Linked DNA regions of Diceros bicornis minor. The main gene of each other region encodes a partner of the protein of the gene in region 2 in a complex. Links are inferred from orthologs where the notes say so. Each region holds a gene or a part of one and is shown on either strand. Other genes may lie near its edges. The genes, in order: ZBP1 and RIPK3.

Region 1 (7,890 bases), on a different chromosome or scaffold from region 2:
TCGAGTGGGCAGGGAGAGTTTGGGGGTCAGAGGAAACAGGCCCGCGTCCCGGAGCTGAAGGGAAACCAGGATGCTTACGCCGTTTGCTGAGCTGAGGGCAAGGTGTCTCCGGAATTGCAGCCACTTCTTGCTGGGGCCTCGCTGCTGGAGAAAGAAAGATGCGTCAGGGGGCGGAGGCACAGGGGAAGGGACGAGGATCCACCAGACAAGGGTGGCCCCAGCGCACGGGCGTTCCAAACTCGGATTCTAGAGTGAACAGACTTGCCTTCAAATCCGGCCCTGCCACTTTCCTGCTGTGCAGGCTCCCTGCTAATTAACCTCTCTGGGAAGAGGGAAGAACGCCGTCTACCCACCTCCGGGGTTGGGTGCGGGCAGGGTGACCCCCGGGCTCCGCACCGGCCCCTGCGAGTACCTGACAATGGCAGCTCTTTGAAGAGCTGGAAAGGAGGATCTAGCGCCATGCTAAGTCTGTTCTGTTATTATTATCTCTATCGTCGTTGTTGTCATTACCATTTTCTGTTATTACTATTAATGTTTTACTCTGCACCTACTATGTGCTGGCACCAGGCTGAGCCCTTTGCATCTAATCCTCTCGCAACCCTATGATGCAGCCCTACTGTCATCTCCGCTGGCCAGAAAAAGAAGTCAAGGCATGGTGAGGGGACCTCACGCGCCCCCAAGGGGCAGAGCCCCTGCTTGAGCCCAGGTCCGAATCCGGGCTGTCCACTGCCAGGACTCATGCAGGGTCCGACCCCCCCATCCCGCCCCGGAGGCAGGTTACCCTGGCAGGGCTGGGCCCGCTCTGTGGGAACCACTTCTCCAGTCTGACCCTCGCCCAGGCGCCATGTCGCGGGGCCCTCGAGGTGGACTTTCGCCTCCTCCTTCATCCGGTAGAGGACTTGGTTGAGTCTCTTCTTGGGCACTTGGCAGTCCTTGGCCAGCTGGGCAGCCTTCACCGGGGAGCCAGCACCCCTCAGCACCTGCAGGATCTTCTGCTCCAGGTCTGGGCGACAAGAGGGGCAGAAAGAGAACCGAGTCCCCCCACAATCGATTCTGGGCTGGGGGGGCGAGGGAGACCCCCCGAGAGGGGTCCAGGGCAGAGACCCGAGCAGACATCCACCTCTGTTCAGTGAGGGGCACTTGGGCTGGTCAGAGGTGACCTTGGCTGGACAGCCTGGTGGCCAGAGGAGGTGCCTAGGCCTTCCGAGTGTGCTCCCCCTGTTGTGAGTGCTCGAGGGCAGGTGGGAACTCTCAGCTCTCAGGCTCAGCTCTGAGAGGTCCTCAGAGCAGAGGGGAGTGGAGGGCGGCAGGACGGGGGAGAGTGAGGCGGGAGAGTGGGGGGGGGCGGGGGAGGGAGAGGCAGGCCTGCTGGGCTCTGAGCCCCCCAGGGAAGCTGCCCCTCCTCTGGGGCTCATCATCCATGTCAGTGGTGTCGCTATTCATCCAGCCAGAGACCCAAGAGACATTCAGAAACGGCTCTTTCTCCCTGATGCCCAAACACGGAGTCCTGGAAATCCTGTTCCTGGCTCTCCTGAGTCCCTCGTCTCCTCTTCTCCACCTCCTCTTCCCTGTTCCTCGTCACCACCTCAGGTGACAGCAATTCCACCAACTCTAGTCGGGTTCCCTGCGGTCCACTCTCCACTCGGCAGCCAGAACTGGCTCTGCCGACCACCCCGCTTCGTCTTCACCCACCTTCAACTTCCCTCCAAGTGCCAACCCGTCTGCGCTCCTTCCAGCCCCACTCACCACTGGGCCTTTGCACATGCTGTTCCCTATGTCAGGAACACTCTTCCCCCCTCTCCACCTGTCCAGCGTCTACTTAACTTCCAGGTCTCGCTCAGATGCCATCTCCTTTGGGAAGCTGTCCCGGATGCCCTGAGTGGGTGGGGTGCTGTTTGTGTGTGGGTCCCCTGCAGAATGTCCCCCAGGATTCCCTGCTGTGACTGCCTGACTCACGGTAGTACCTATGATGTCTAGCACAGTGCAGGGCACACAGTAGGTTCTCAGGAAATGGCCCTTGAAGGAATGAGTGACCAGGCAAATGAGTGAGTGAGTGGATTTGCCCACTCCTGGGACGGATGTCTGCCCACATGACCTGGAGCAGGGTAAGGCGGCTCCTCTTGGGCCTCTGTTTCCCCATCTGAGGTTAACACCCCTCAGCAGGATCTCGTGAGGCTCAAGGAGGAACTCTCTGAATGGCCTCTGCTCTGCGGACAGGGTCCCACAAGCCTCAGCCAGCTGCTCCTCCGGGGGTGAGAGGACAGGGCCGCGGGGCTGGTGAGAGCCTGTGGGCAGCTGCCCAGTCTGCCGCCAGCAAATGTCTGCCCCCAAGAACCCCGAGGGGGATGCAAAGCAGGGCCCTTCTTGGCAAGACCTGGGTCCCCTTCCGGGGCAGCAGCTGGCCTTCGCCTTCTGGGTTTTTCCGGGGTCCTTGGTGGCAGCACTATTGGGGAAGGGCTAACCCACCTGACTCGACAGCTGGGCGCTGTGGCTCGCCCTGCGGTCAGGATGTTTCCATCCTTGCAATTAGAGGTGCCATTAGAACACCTGGCGGCACCCGCCCTGTCACCCCCCAAATTCTACCCCAGCGGCCAGGGGATCCCTGTCCAACTAACTACACACCTGGCTCTGCATTTCTTTTTCTGTGTGTGAGGGAGATTAGCCCTGAGCTAACATCTGTTACCAATCCTCCTCTTTTTGCTGAGGAAGACTGGCCCTGGGCTAACATCTGTGCCCATCTTCCTCCACTTTATATGGGACGCTGCCACAGCATGGCCCGACAAGCGGATCGCTGGTGCGCGCCCGGGATCCGAACCTGCGAACCCCAGGCTGCTGAAGCAGAGCGCGGGCACTTAACCACTATGCCACCGGGCCAGACCCTGGCTTTGCCTTTCTTGAAAAGAGTTTTGATTCTTGGAAAGCCTGCCCCCGGGTAGCCTCTTCCCCTCCCTCCTCCTCCACTGCCCTGACCACAAAGGGCAAGCAGGCTTGGGGAGCAGGTGTGGGTGAAGGCCAAACCGGAAGGGCGGGGCTGGCCTCCTGCACAGAGACCTCAGTGACCGGAAGCTGTGACATGGACCAGGTGTGAGCGACAGGTTGGTAAAGAAAGGGAGAAGCCAATGGGGAAGAAGGTAGATGAGGTTACCCAGTGCCCTGGACTCCTACCTGCACGGCACCCCTCCCCAGACCCCTCCCCGGACCCCTCCCAGGACCCCTCCCGGGACCCCTCCCCGGGACCCCTCCCTGGCACACCTCCCCGGACCCCTCCCCTGCACCCCTCCCAGGACCCCTCCCCGGCACCCCTCCTTGGCACCCCTTCCCGCAGCCCTCCCTGGACTCCTACCCTGCACCCATCCCAGGACCCCTCCCAGGACCCCTCCCCAGACCCCTCCCCTGCACCCTTCACAGGACCCCTCCCCGGACCCCTCCCCGGCACCCCTCCTTGGCACCCCTTCCCGGACTCCTACCCTGCACCCCTCCCAGGACCCCTCCCCAGACCCCTCCCCTGCACCCTTCGCAGGACCCCTCCCCGGACCCCTCCCCTGCACCCCTCCCAGGACCCCTCCTCGGACCCCTCCCCTGCACCCCTCCCAGGACCCCTCCCCGGACCCCTACCCTGCACCCCTCCCGGGACCCCTCCCTGGCACCCCTCCCCGGACCCCTCCCCTGCACCCCTCGCAGGACCCCTCCCCAGACCCCTCCCCTGCACCCCTCCCAGGACCCCTGCCCAGCACCCCTCCCCAGGACCCCTCCCAGGGCCCCTGCCTGGCACCCCTCCCCAGCACACCCTCTTTTTCTCCTTTTTGTTCTCTGATGGCTGGTTTCCAGGGTTTGAGCCTCAGCTCTGCCATCTCCTAGCTATGTGACCTCTCTGGGCCTCAGTTTCTCCATCTGTGACATGGGAATAATAGTATCAACTTTAAAGCTTGTGAGGACTAAATGAGCTAATGATAACAAACAGAAACCGCCCTCGCCCGCAGCCCACACTGTGGCGCCCTTAGCGTCAACCGTAGAGCACGGCCGCGCTCGGTGCGCGGCTGACTTTCACCGGTGATTCTTCCTGGAGGAAAGCGTCATCTGAAGACAGAATGCTACGAGGGGAAAACACGCACATGCGCATCTTGTCAAAGCGGCTTCCGCTGTTTCTCAAAATGAGTATGAGGACGGGTCGGCCGTAGGCCCTGAGTCATCCCACCCGCAGGGCCGGCGGTCTCGAGCTCATTCGGAAAATGGAAACACAATTGCGCTCACCGCTGAGCGTCACTGTGAAGCGCACACCAAGTGTGTTGCAGGGTGCCGAGGCAGAGGAGCCCTCCGAGGGGACGCTGTGCTCTCCTCCTCGTCACTGCTGTGCTTGAGGGGACCCTGCTACCTTCGCCGTGATCTGGGCCAAGAACCAGAGAGAGAAGTACAAGTCCCACGGGGGAGCTCCCACTTCCTTGGAGGGAAGAAAGTACCTGTTTCGGTGGGGTCAGCAGGGGCCTCGGCCATGCCGGCAGCAGCAGCTGGGAGCCCGGGAGCCTGGGGGGCAGCGGCCGGCTCCTGCATCGCGGCCTTGAGGGTGGGCCACGGTGATGCCGGCTGTCCTGGCGTGGCCGAGCCTCGTGCTCCGGCAGCTGTGAAGGAATGCCAGCTTCAACCTGGCGGTGTCAGCTGTGCACACCCCGGAAGCGGAGCCCAGGAGCCAGCCCTGACCAGCCTTCTAGAGAAAATGAAACTTCTGTGTATGGCTTTCGAGAGAAACAAAATCGAAAGCAGAACTGATGAGCAAGTCCGAGCAGGCCTCCGTCTAGATATTGGTAGGGAAGAGCTGGGCTGGGCAAGACGCAGCATCCCCCAGGGCCAGGAGGCTTCCCCGACCTTCCAGGCGCCCCCACTGCCCACCTGACCCCCACACACGGAAGAGACAGCTGGCGGTGCCCTGTGAGGGATCGCGTGCGTGTCCCAGTGCATCTTTCTTTAGTGAGTGTCTACTATGTGCTCTCCAATCTTTGTGTCCCCCTGACCCATCTACAGGGTGGGGGCTGGGTCCGGCCTCTCTTCTCGGGGTCCGGCCTCTCTTCTCGGAGGGGAAATCGAGGCTCGGGTGGGTGAGGTCATTTGTCCAAGGCCACAGAGATGCTTGGGTTCTAACCCAGCCCCACCATTTACTGGCTTTGTGACCTTGGGCAAGTATGTTAACCTCTCTGTGCCTCATCTGTAAAATGGGGCTAATAAAAGTAGCCACCTCAGGAAGACTAGGGGGTTAATCCAGTTAAGCAGTCTGATCACAGCCACCAGGGCCATCTACAGTCACGAGCACGGTTGGGACCTGTTTCTGGAAAAAGGACCCATCTCTTTCATAAATCCTCAAAGGGGCTGAGCAGTTCAGAGCCTCTGTTCTCTTCCAGGGAACAGAAGGGGAAACTGAGGCCCCAGAGCTGAAGGGCTTTGGATGAGGCAGCCGAGAGGGTCAGGAGCTCAGCCCCCAAAGACCCGGACTCAGGGTCCCCGCTGCAGAGGCCTGGGAGGGCGAGCGGATGTCCTCGCGCCCTGGGGGACCCTCGCCCCAGCGTTTCTGCACCCGGAGGGGCTTGGGAACAAGGGCAGCCCTGGAAAAGGGTCCCGGAGGAGGCTCGTCTGGAAGCTGTCTCCGCAGAGCAAGCAGGACAAACTCAACGACGAGTCCCCACCCAGACCCATTAACTCCGAACCTCTGGGGCGCGGCCGAGCGCCCCAGGTGATCTCACGCCGTCTGAGGCGGAGAGCTGGACAACTCGGTAAAAACAGGAAACCACAAGGATGCTTTTGTTCCCCTTTTACGTAAAACCAAAGAATCGGGTATCTCTATATGAACTGAAAATATTAATTTTAAATGCGGGTAATTGGGGGTGTGGAGGGAGATCGTGGGGGCGCCCTCGGGGGGGCTCCTGCTGAACCCAGCGGGTGGCTTGGAGCTGTGCCGAGAGTAGCCACCAGGTGGCGCCCGCTCACCAACCGGCCCGGGGCCTGGAGCCCCGTGGGGCCTCCGCACTGGCTCGCTGACCGTCCCTCGGACCTTCCAGCAGGAACCACCACGCCAGGAGGGCCGAGCGCCCGGGAGGTGCCGCCTGGACAAGGACTCGGCCTTGCCTTCTTCTTCAGGGCAGGTCTGATCCGAGCTTCAGCCCTGCTTCCCCAGCTGTGTGTCACCACCTCTCTGAGCCTCAGTTTCCTTAATTATGAAATGGAGATAGTAAATAAGAAAAACCATGTCTATCTGACACTAGGTAGGTGCTCACAAAATTTGCGTAAGTTAGAAAATGTGATGTGATGTGTCTCCACAATACTTTAGGTGCTAGGGGGAAAAAAAAGAGCAAGAAAGAGAAAGAAGGAACAATTTAATGCAAGTGGTTCCCCCTTCCAGAGCATTCTGTGATATGTCTGGAATTCACGGAAGCTGTGAACCTGCTGTGAGCATCTCACCACACTGAGCGGGATTCTCACTTATACAGATTTGGATTATCTTGTATTTCTCTTCTCAATTTAAGAGATTTTCAAGGTAATTTTGACTATAAGGATTGTCTTCAACCCAAATATCAGTGGCTTAAACAATACAGAGGTGTCTTTCTTTCTCCCATAACAGTCTGGTAGGTGGTCCAGGTCCATAGTGTCGAGACCCAGGCCCCTTCTATCTTGTTGCTCTGCTGTTTGTGGCCTCTGTTCTCAGGTTGCCCTTATGTTCTAGGATGGCTGCTCAAGCTCCAGCCATGATGTCTGCATTCCTTCCAGTAGGAAGGAGGAAAGAGAAGAAGGGCAGGTACCTTTCCTTTAAGAACACTTGCAAGTTGCACACACATTCCACTGACATCCCCTGAGTCTTAGGGCCTGGCCTATCTGCAAGGCAGTCTGGGAAAGATGGTCTTTATTCTGGCCCACCATGCAGCCAGCCAAAATTGGAGGTTCTATTACTTCAAAATACGGGACAACGGATATTGGAGGATTATCTAGCTGTCCCTGTGAGGCTGTGTTGTCCCCTGAAGGAAGGAGCAAGGATACCCCTCTGTGCCTTGAGGTGTGTCCATTCACGGGGGCCTGTCTATCGAACAGGCCCAAGGCTGAGCCCCACCGAGGCCGAGATCAAAGGCAGGTTCCATACTCTCAGGACCTCCTATCCAGTGTAGAAGGCAGACGAGGACAGGGGGGGAGGGATACTGGTGCCCCCTCACTCCCCCGGGATGGGCCTCCAGGCCACAGGAGTCCCAAGATGGCGCCTCCAACCCCCAGAGCCCGAATCTCTCTTTGCTTGGAAAGCACACTCCTTTTTCATGGCTTGTGTTTTTCTGGAAACTATTAGAACTCTCCGCCCAAACTCAATGATAATTACATGTTACTGATCTTGAGTCTTTAAATTTCTCTTTCTCTCTCCTTTAAAAGAGAGATATTTTTACTGCTCATTGTGTTGGCAAAGCCCAGTCTCCTTCTACCAGGCAGCGTGGATGTTATTTTCACATTTCCTCGGTGAATTCACCTCAGGGGGGAAGTGGAAATGTCTGAAGGCACCAAATGTGGGTAATGACCTGTTTTGTGTCAGGGGCAAAGGCCCGAGAACCAGAGGTGGCCAGAGAGAGCGGGGGATGGCACGAGGTCACAAGAGCTACCAGCGGAGGGCGAGGGACACGACCAGGCAAGGGCCAGCCCCGGCCCTGCTCGCTGCCCTTCACGGCAGAGCCATTGACGGGGCTCCGCCGGTCACCTGTGTCCCCTGGAGTCAGGCAGACCGGGGCTCTGCTCCCAGAGCGAGGGACTCCTCTCTCTGAGCCTCAGTTTCTCCCTTTGACAGAGGTAATCACAGCAGCACCTACCTCTGGGTTGTTGCAGGAGTTGAATGGGATCGTGCCCATGAAGGTGCTCACAGAACGCTGAGCGAGT
Region 2 (7,804 bases):
TCCCAGTGGGTGTCAGCTTCTTCATTTATAAAATGAGGAGGTCGGGGTGGATGGCCTCAAGCCCTTTCTCTCCCCTGGATACCCTGGATCTATCTAGGGTCTTGAGGAAGAAGCTGGTGGGGAAAGAAAGGAGTGGGAGTGAATACCTGATATTGGACTTGGCTCCGGCGCCCTGGGAGGCCAGTGGGTACCATGTCTCTCAGCCCCCTGTGAACAACACAGTGCTCTCGGGCTCCCTGTCCTGAGGTCTCTTCCCCCATCGCACACCACCTCAGCCCCAAGTTTCCCCTGGCAAGGGGACAGGATTCACAGGAGTCCTAGTGTATCCGCTAGTCCTGCCAATGTCTCACCTGATTCCCTTGGGGTCCAGGACCTGGGGTCCAAGCTGAGGAGGGGCTGAGTACCTGGTTTCTGAAAGGTGAGTTCTCTGGAGTTTGGGGAGGTTGAGCTGTTGAGTCAGATGTCCCTGCTGTCCGGTCATGCTGAACCTGCTTTCCTTGTGCCCTGATCCTCTCAGGAGTGTTTGTACACTTTTCAGGAACAGAGTTGGGGAACCCCTCCACATTCAGGTTGTTCAACATCTCAGCCACAGTATTGCAGCTTCCTGTGGTTTGCCCAGGGCCATCCATTTCTGTCTTTCTTGGGCCTGGCTCAGGGGTAAACATCGTCCTGTTGCTGCTCCTGTGCTCAAACATGAACTTCTTCACCTGCAAGGACAGGGGGCTTGTTGGGTGTGGAGGTGGGGGAGCTGAGTAGCCAAGGGAGGAGTCTCTTGGTCCACAGTCTGTTGCCTGGGAACTCAGGGGTGGGGTGGGGAAACTGAAGAGGAGGGTCAAGGCATAAAGAACAGTGGTCAGTGGGGAGTCATTGGGTGGCCAGGGGAGTCATTGGGTGGCCAAGGGAGCCATGTTGCCATCTCTGACCAGCTTCTAGGGGGCGGGGGGTTGTGTTGGGTACTCACCATGGAGACAGCATCTTCTATCTTGTCCTCCACCCGAAGGAAAGCTTTCTTCATTTTTGGACGGCAGTCTGGAGAGAAAGCAGAGTGGGTGGTAGGGGAGCAAAACTTCTTTTCCAGGAAAAAGCCCCCTGTAGACAGATCCAGGCCTACCCCAGCTGCCAGATGGCCAGCTCACCTTGGAAGGAGGGCCTGTCTTTGGGCTCATGGCTCCAGCAGTGCTGCATTAACTCCTTCAGTCCCTCCAAGCCAGGAGTCTCAGGGCCGGGCTTGGGCAGCTCAGTTAAGGGGGGCCGGACCTTCCTTTCACACACTGCTGCCTTCACCAGCGATATCTGGGACACTACTGGGATTGGGATGGACGATGTGCAGAGAAGATATTAAGGATACGAGGGGCCACCTGTTCCATCATGGAAAGGGGCAAGGAGTGTAGTCCAAGGGGAGGTGAGGGAGGAGGACAATCTGAGCAGGTAAGCAGGAAGAGGAGGGGTTGGGGGCTCGTGAGAGGAGGTACCCGGGGTTAAGGATCCCAGAGTCTGTCCAAAGTCTTACTCTCATGGTCTCTTCCAGCTAGTACTGCCCACATTAGGATCCCGAAGCTGCACAAGACACAAAGCTGAGGCTTGGCCCTACTACTGGCAAGACTCCTCTCCCGTTACCTTCCCCTAGAAGGGCCCAGAGAGGTGTAGAAATTGGGGACATGTGTTTGCAGTGAGTACTTACCTGTAGACATCACAGGCCATGGAGGCCTTCTGGTTTATATCAGCCAACAGTTCTGGGGCCAAGTAGGCTAGGGTGCCCCCTGCCTTCCCTGATCCTGCCCCTGACTGTGAGCCTCCCTGAAACGTGGACAGGCCAAAATCTGCCAGCTGCAAAAGGAGGGAAGAAGAAGGAGGTAGGGGATGGACAGTGCCAACCAGCTTCCAGAATTCCCTCCCTGCCAGGAGATGCAGATCCAGCCTTGTAAAGGGAGTATGGAAGGCTAGGGAACGGTCAGACCAGTGGGGCCCTTGGGTTGGAAGTCTGGGTCCCCTCTCCATAGGGCTGGGTCAAGGTCTGAGTCTGCTGGGCTAAGTTAGTCATGGGTCTCTGGAGGGCCTGGTGAGGTGGGCCTGTGGAACTGACTGTGTCGGTCAGGGCCTCTATCACCTGGTATGGCAGAGATAAAGCTCCTGAGTGACACTTGGGCAGCCCTGTGTCCAGAGGGAGATGCTGAGGCTATTCAGTAGCCAGAGCTGCAGCAGGTCCTGTGTCCCATTAAGCGGGGGAAGGGCTGGAGCATCTCAGGAGCAAGACTTTGTCCAAAGGCTGGGCTAGGGTGTGGATGGGCTGACCTGGACATGCAGCTCTGAGTCCAGCAGGACATTGGAAGGCTTGAGGTCTCGGTGCAGAAGGACGGGGTTCTGGCTGTGCAGGTAACACATCCCGAGCACCAACTCCTGCAGCAGGCGGCAGAGGAGCGGCCAGGGCCGAGGGCACTGGGGCTGCAGCAGCCCTGCCAGGGACCCATTCTCCATGAATCGAGTCACCAGAGCTGGCCCGGACACGTAGTCCCACTCCAGCTTCTCGGTGACCCCCAGCAGGAGCAGGACGTACTGGTTACGCAGATTTGCCATGGCCTTCACCTCCCTGGATATCGCCTCCCTACACCCCAGGACAGAGATGGAGTTGGCTCTGCTCCTGGGAAGACCCCTCCCTTTCCCATTCAGGCCCCACCTCCTTGGCCAGACACCAACTGGCTCCAAAGAAGCTTGGGTCACTCACGAGTTCACGATCTTGACTGCCACATCATGACCCCACGACCTGTGTTGCACCCGGAACACGGTGCCAAACCCGCCTTTGCCAACCAACTTCGGGTTCTCCAATTCCTCGATGGGCACCAGGGAGGCTGGGGCTCCGCTAGGCCTGAGAGAGAGAGCCTCGTCCACCAGCTGGCCATGGCCCCAAGTCCACGCTGCCCCCTGCACACCCCCACCCCCGCCTGGCCCCGTGATTCCGGGGACTTGGCACTGTCAGTTGTCTCCTGGCCTCCCACTCTCCACTCACCACAACTTGACGCAAGACATCAGGCTGGAAGGGTGAGGGGCTTCTGGAAGTTTCGAGCCCATGAGGATGGAGTGACTTCTGGGAACGGGATTTGTGGCAGAGAGGGGGAGGGGATCGGGAGAGGGGTCAATCTCTAGGCCACTGCACGGTTCCGCTTCCCGGGTCGATGTGCCTGCACCGAGTGAGTTAATAACTTCCTTCTCCGACAGGCGCCTCTATGGTCCCGCCCCAGTAGTGGGAGGGGGTAGTGTAAAACGGAAGCTAGTGCTTCTTTCTTTTAACCAGTGTTTCCTTGAGCACTTGCTGTGTGCCTCGGCCAGGTTAGGCGTCACTGGGCATTTGGGGTACCACGGAAGGAGTCCTCACCTTCCAGGAACGCACAATCACCTCACTCCTATAGTCAGCGTTTCTCCCTTCTCCCACAGGATTCCCAGCTCCAGCACCCACCAGGCCTGGGCGGGGGGGAGGGGATGGTGCTGAGGAGGATTTTGTGGTCCTAGGGCTCAGCTCTCCTATAGCTGCCCTAAGATCATAGCCAACACTTCTATAAAGGCTGCCATGTGCCAGGTACATATATTAGCTTATTTACTTCTCACATCAACCCTAGGGGGATTGGTACTGTTTTTATTCTTCATGGATGAGGAAATGGAGGCACTGATAGTTTAAGTATCCTGCCTAAGCCAGTATGAATTGACTTCAGAGTCTGGCTCTGAACCACCGAGTTTTCCTATTCTCACACAGGCTTCAGGGCTGTACCACTCAGCTGGTCATGAGGGGGCTGAGGACGGTGTGACGCATCCAACAGTGTAGTGAAGGGTCCCTGTGTGTATTCCTGCCCAGTCCCTGACAGCTGCTCTTGCTGGCAAGCCCCTGGCATTGGTAGTGACTTGCCTGCTGGCAAGACCAAGACCTACTCCCAGGGCATTGTGGTCAGATGAACTAGCTCAGCTAGAGGGCTGCTGACATTGTGGTGTACACTGCAGTCGAAACACCTCAGCGCCTCCCTGCCCTCTCCCAGCATGCCAACTCCTCCATGCAAATGCCCTGGTTAATACACGTTCCCGACAGGCATATGCTCTGGACAAGGGCCTTTAAGAACTCAGGAGGGCCGGCCCCATGGCTCAGCGGTTAAGTGCGCGCGCTGCGCTGCTGGCGGCCCGGGTTCGGATCCCGGGCGCGCACTGACGCACCGCTTCTCCGGCCATACTGAGGCCGCGTCCCACATACAACAACTAGAAGGCTCTGCAACTATGACATACAACTATCTACTGGGGCTTTGGGGGAAAAAAATAAAAAAATAAATAATAAAAAAATTAAAAAAAAAATTAAAAAAAAAAAAAGAACTCAGGAGCTTGGGGAGCCTTAAGGATTTAGGGTAGACAAAAAGTGTCCATATTTTACGTGCCCAAAGCCTGACCATGGCTGGAGGTTGTGGGAACTAGATACGGCCACCCCTAGACGCTCAGTGTTTCACGAGGAGACCCAACCATACAGGTCGTGTGCCAGCTTCACTGGAAGGTGCTCGCCTTGGTATGCACTTTTCATTCTGTCCAGTGGTCCACGGGCTCTGCTGGTTGGAGCAAAAGTGGCCAGCAGTTAACTGTGGTTTCTAGAGCACCTGAGAACTCCAGGATCCACAACGTGAATTCTGGTGGAATCAGTCCAAGCTGTAATTCTTAGACTGTAGTCTCCTTAAAAGCCAGTATGTGGGTGATACCAATAAATATTTGTTGAATTGAATTAATAAAGGAACGAGCAAAACTTTCGGAGCTTCCTTAAGACGCTGATCACCCCAGCTGGAGCTCCGTGCTCATTGGGAGGAAAGAGGAGGTTGGGCTTCTTTATGGTTTGGGGGTTCTCACTGCATCTGCACAGTTGACAGAATCTGTCTGAAGTAGACTTGACTCTAGAGATATGGCGTATCTCACAGAATACAATGGCAGTCCTCAAAAAGTCTAGTCAGGAGCTAAGAGCCATCAGAGGGGGCAGCCATTCCTTTCATGATTCTCTTTGGGAGAAGACCCTAGTCTCCACTTGAGGGGAACAGGCAGACAGGAGAGAGAAGGGTGTTTAAAGGCCTTTTTATGGCTGGATTTCTTTAGATTGGGACAGGGGTCAGCTACTATAAGCATAGGGTTGCGGCTAGTGTCAGAGCCTGTACTATTTTTTGACTCAAAATAGACCAAGCGCCTTTAGAAGAAGGAAGGGCAGGGAGAGGAGCCTGGAATGAGTGCCTGACAAGATCCTCTGCTTCTGCAGGAGGGGACTGGTAAGGCAGAGTTGATTCCTGGATTTTGGAGCTCTGGCCTTCCCTGTGACCCCAGGTGTCACAGGCTTTTGGAGTCTATTTGGGTGTCTCTCATCCCTTCAGTTCTCTGCTCCCAACTGTCTTTGGTTACTTTCAGCCCATCCCTAGGACCTGCTCTGGTTCCTTCTCCCTAGCTGTCGGGGTGGGGGGACAGAGGGTGTGTCTCTCTTCTTGCGTATTCTAGCCCTAACTAATTCTCATCTCTTGTTTGATTAAGAGATTCTAATTATAGACCAAATGGTATTAATTGAGGTGACAGTAAAAAGGATTATGGAGGATTTTCATGTTCCAGAGTGTTTGATTATTTTATATTAGCATGCATTACTTTTATAAACAGTTAAGGGAGAAGATTGTGATATGTGCAAAGATTTAGTTATAAGGATATTCACTGAAGTGTTGTTGAAAATAGTGAAAAAATAATGGGGCCGGCCCTGTGGCATAGAGGTTAAGTGTGCGCGCTCCGCTGCTGGTGGCCCGGGTTCTGATCCCGGGCGCCCACCGACGCACCGCTTGTCAGGCCATGCTGTGGCGGCGTCCCATATAAAGTGAGGGAATATGGGCACGGATGTTGGCCCAGGGCCAGTCTTTCTCAACAAAAAGAGAAGGATTGGCGTGGATGTTAGCTCAGGGCTGATCTTCCTCACAAAAAAATATTAATAAATAAAATAGTGAAAAAATAAAACCCTAGCTATTCAATCATAGGAAAAAGACTGAAAAAATTATGCAATGGAAGATTATGTAGCCATTAAAATGATGACTTAGACCTATATTTATTAATATGACAGGTGTTTATCATATATCAAGTGGGAAAAAAAACAGATTATAAAACAGTATGTCCCATATAATCATATTTTTTGTTTGTTTTAAAAATTCTCTTCCAGGAGTGTGACAGAGAGCTCAAAAGCCTCCCATAGCAGAATACCTAAATGCTATATAAATCACAATAAACATGTATTTTTAAATTTGTTAGTGAGCTCCCAATAAAATAAAGGTAATCTCCTAAGGGCATCCCCCTGAAACCAACAAAATAGAAAAATGTTAAAAAAGAAGGTAAATAGAGAGGTCAACTAATTAGAAACCTAGAGCTTTGGGGACTGGGTAGAGGGTATGGGAGATTAAGGGAGAACCAAAGAGTAGGCCCTAGGGCCTAGGAAGATGGAGGAGCTAAATATAAGACACGCCTATTCCCTGACAAGCTGGGGCCCTCAAAGGGGCCTCATTTTTTGTGGAAAGGAAAAAGTCCACCTGCTTGTGGAGGGAACCTGCAAGGGAACCTGTCTAGGCTGCAGCGCTAGATGTTAAAATTAATGAAAATGTTAGTTTCCCTGTGAGATCTGCTCTCACACGGATCTGTAGTTGGAATTTTTACTTTCCTTTTGATCAAATAAACCATAAGTTGAAAGATTTAAATGGCCCCAGATTATTAATGCCCCCTGGAGTCCAGCAGAAGCAAACTGAATCCTCCTTAGAAGAAAGCATCCTTAATCCAAGTTTCTGGATCAAATTCAGGCAAATATAAACTCACAAAAAAATTTACTGGGGCCGGCTCGTGGTGTAGCGGTTAAGCGCACGCGCTCCACTGCTGGCGGCCCGGGTTCGGATCCCAGGCGCACACCGATGCACTGCTTGTCAGACTATGCTGTGGTGGCATCCCACATAAAGTGGAGGAAGATAGGCACGGATGTTAGCTCAGGGCCAGTCTTCCTCAGCAAAAAGAGGAGGATTGGCACAGATGTTAGGTCAGAGCTGATCTTACTCACACACACAAAAAAATTTACTAAATATATAAAGATTCAAATCACCATGAGGGAGAATCTGCAGGAACTATAATCAACAGGTTTAGATCTTTAAGGGCTTCAGAGTTTGGAATAATCAGATGAAGACTCAAAAGAAGCTATTGTCAAATGTTTAAAGAAATAAAAGATGGAATAGAAAAATGAGCAAGGACTAAGAAATTATAAAAAATACCCTGATAGGTTTAGGAAAAAAATAGAATATCAAGAAATAAAAAACTGTGTATAGCCATCAAAATTAAAATTGCAATGCTTGGTTAAACAGAAGATACAGCTGAAGAGAGAAATAGTGTAATAAAAGTTAGATCTGAAGAAATTCTCCAGAATGCAGGAAAGAGAGACAAGCAGATAGAAAAATTAAGAGGCAAAGAATGAGGAGGTCAAACAATTATCAAATTGGATTTCCATGAGGAGAGAAGGGAAAAAAAATGGGCACAAGGCAATATTTGAGGAGAAAATGAGAATTTTCAAGAATTGTTGGAAGACAGGAATCCACAAATATAGGAAGCACAATTTATGGCAGGAAGGATAAATATAAAGAAATCCACATCTAGATACATTTCAGTGAAACTACAGAACAATGAAGACAAAGTAACAACCTGAAAGGCTAACAAGAAAACGTGGATCATCTGCAAAGGAACACAACTAAACCAGTAGCACACTTCACAGCCATAGTGGAAACCAGAAGACATTGGAATG

The links.
Region 1: RIPK3 (region 2) and ZBP1 share a complex: the UniProt entries of both Homo sapiens proteins name them as parts of the AIM2 PANoptosome complex. The link is inferred for Diceros bicornis minor from reciprocal best matches to the Homo sapiens genes RIPK3 and ZBP1.

The regions. Positions count from the first base shown.
Region 1 is NC_080758.1:5,918,741-5,926,630, reverse strand, and holds the start of ZBP1 (Z-DNA-binding protein 1), read right to left. Parts: upstream 3,193-7,890; 5' UTR 1,419-3,192; coding exon 782-1,418; intron 145-781; coding exon of another isoform or gene 142-144; coding exon 79-141; intron 1-78.
Region 2 is NC_080744.1:23,680,275-23,688,078, reverse strand, and holds the start of RIPK3 (receptor-interacting serine/threonine-protein kinase 3), read right to left. Parts: upstream 3,185-7,804; 5' UTR 3,067-3,184; coding exon 3,005-3,066; intron 2,864-3,004; coding exon 2,723-2,863; intron 2,603-2,722; coding exon 2,293-2,602; intron 1,828-2,292; coding exon 1,682-1,827; intron 1,558-1,681; coding exon 1,511-1,557; intron 1,305-1,510; coding exon 1,137-1,304; intron 1,030-1,136; coding exon 962-1,029; intron 708-961; coding exon 405-707; coding exon of another isoform or gene 351-404; intron 289-350; coding exon 147-288; intron 1-146. UniProt on the Homo sapiens protein: Serine/threonine-protein kinase that activates necroptosis and apoptosis, two parallel forms of cell death. Necroptosis, a programmed cell death process in response to death-inducing TNF-alpha family members, is triggered by RIPK3 following activation by ZBP1.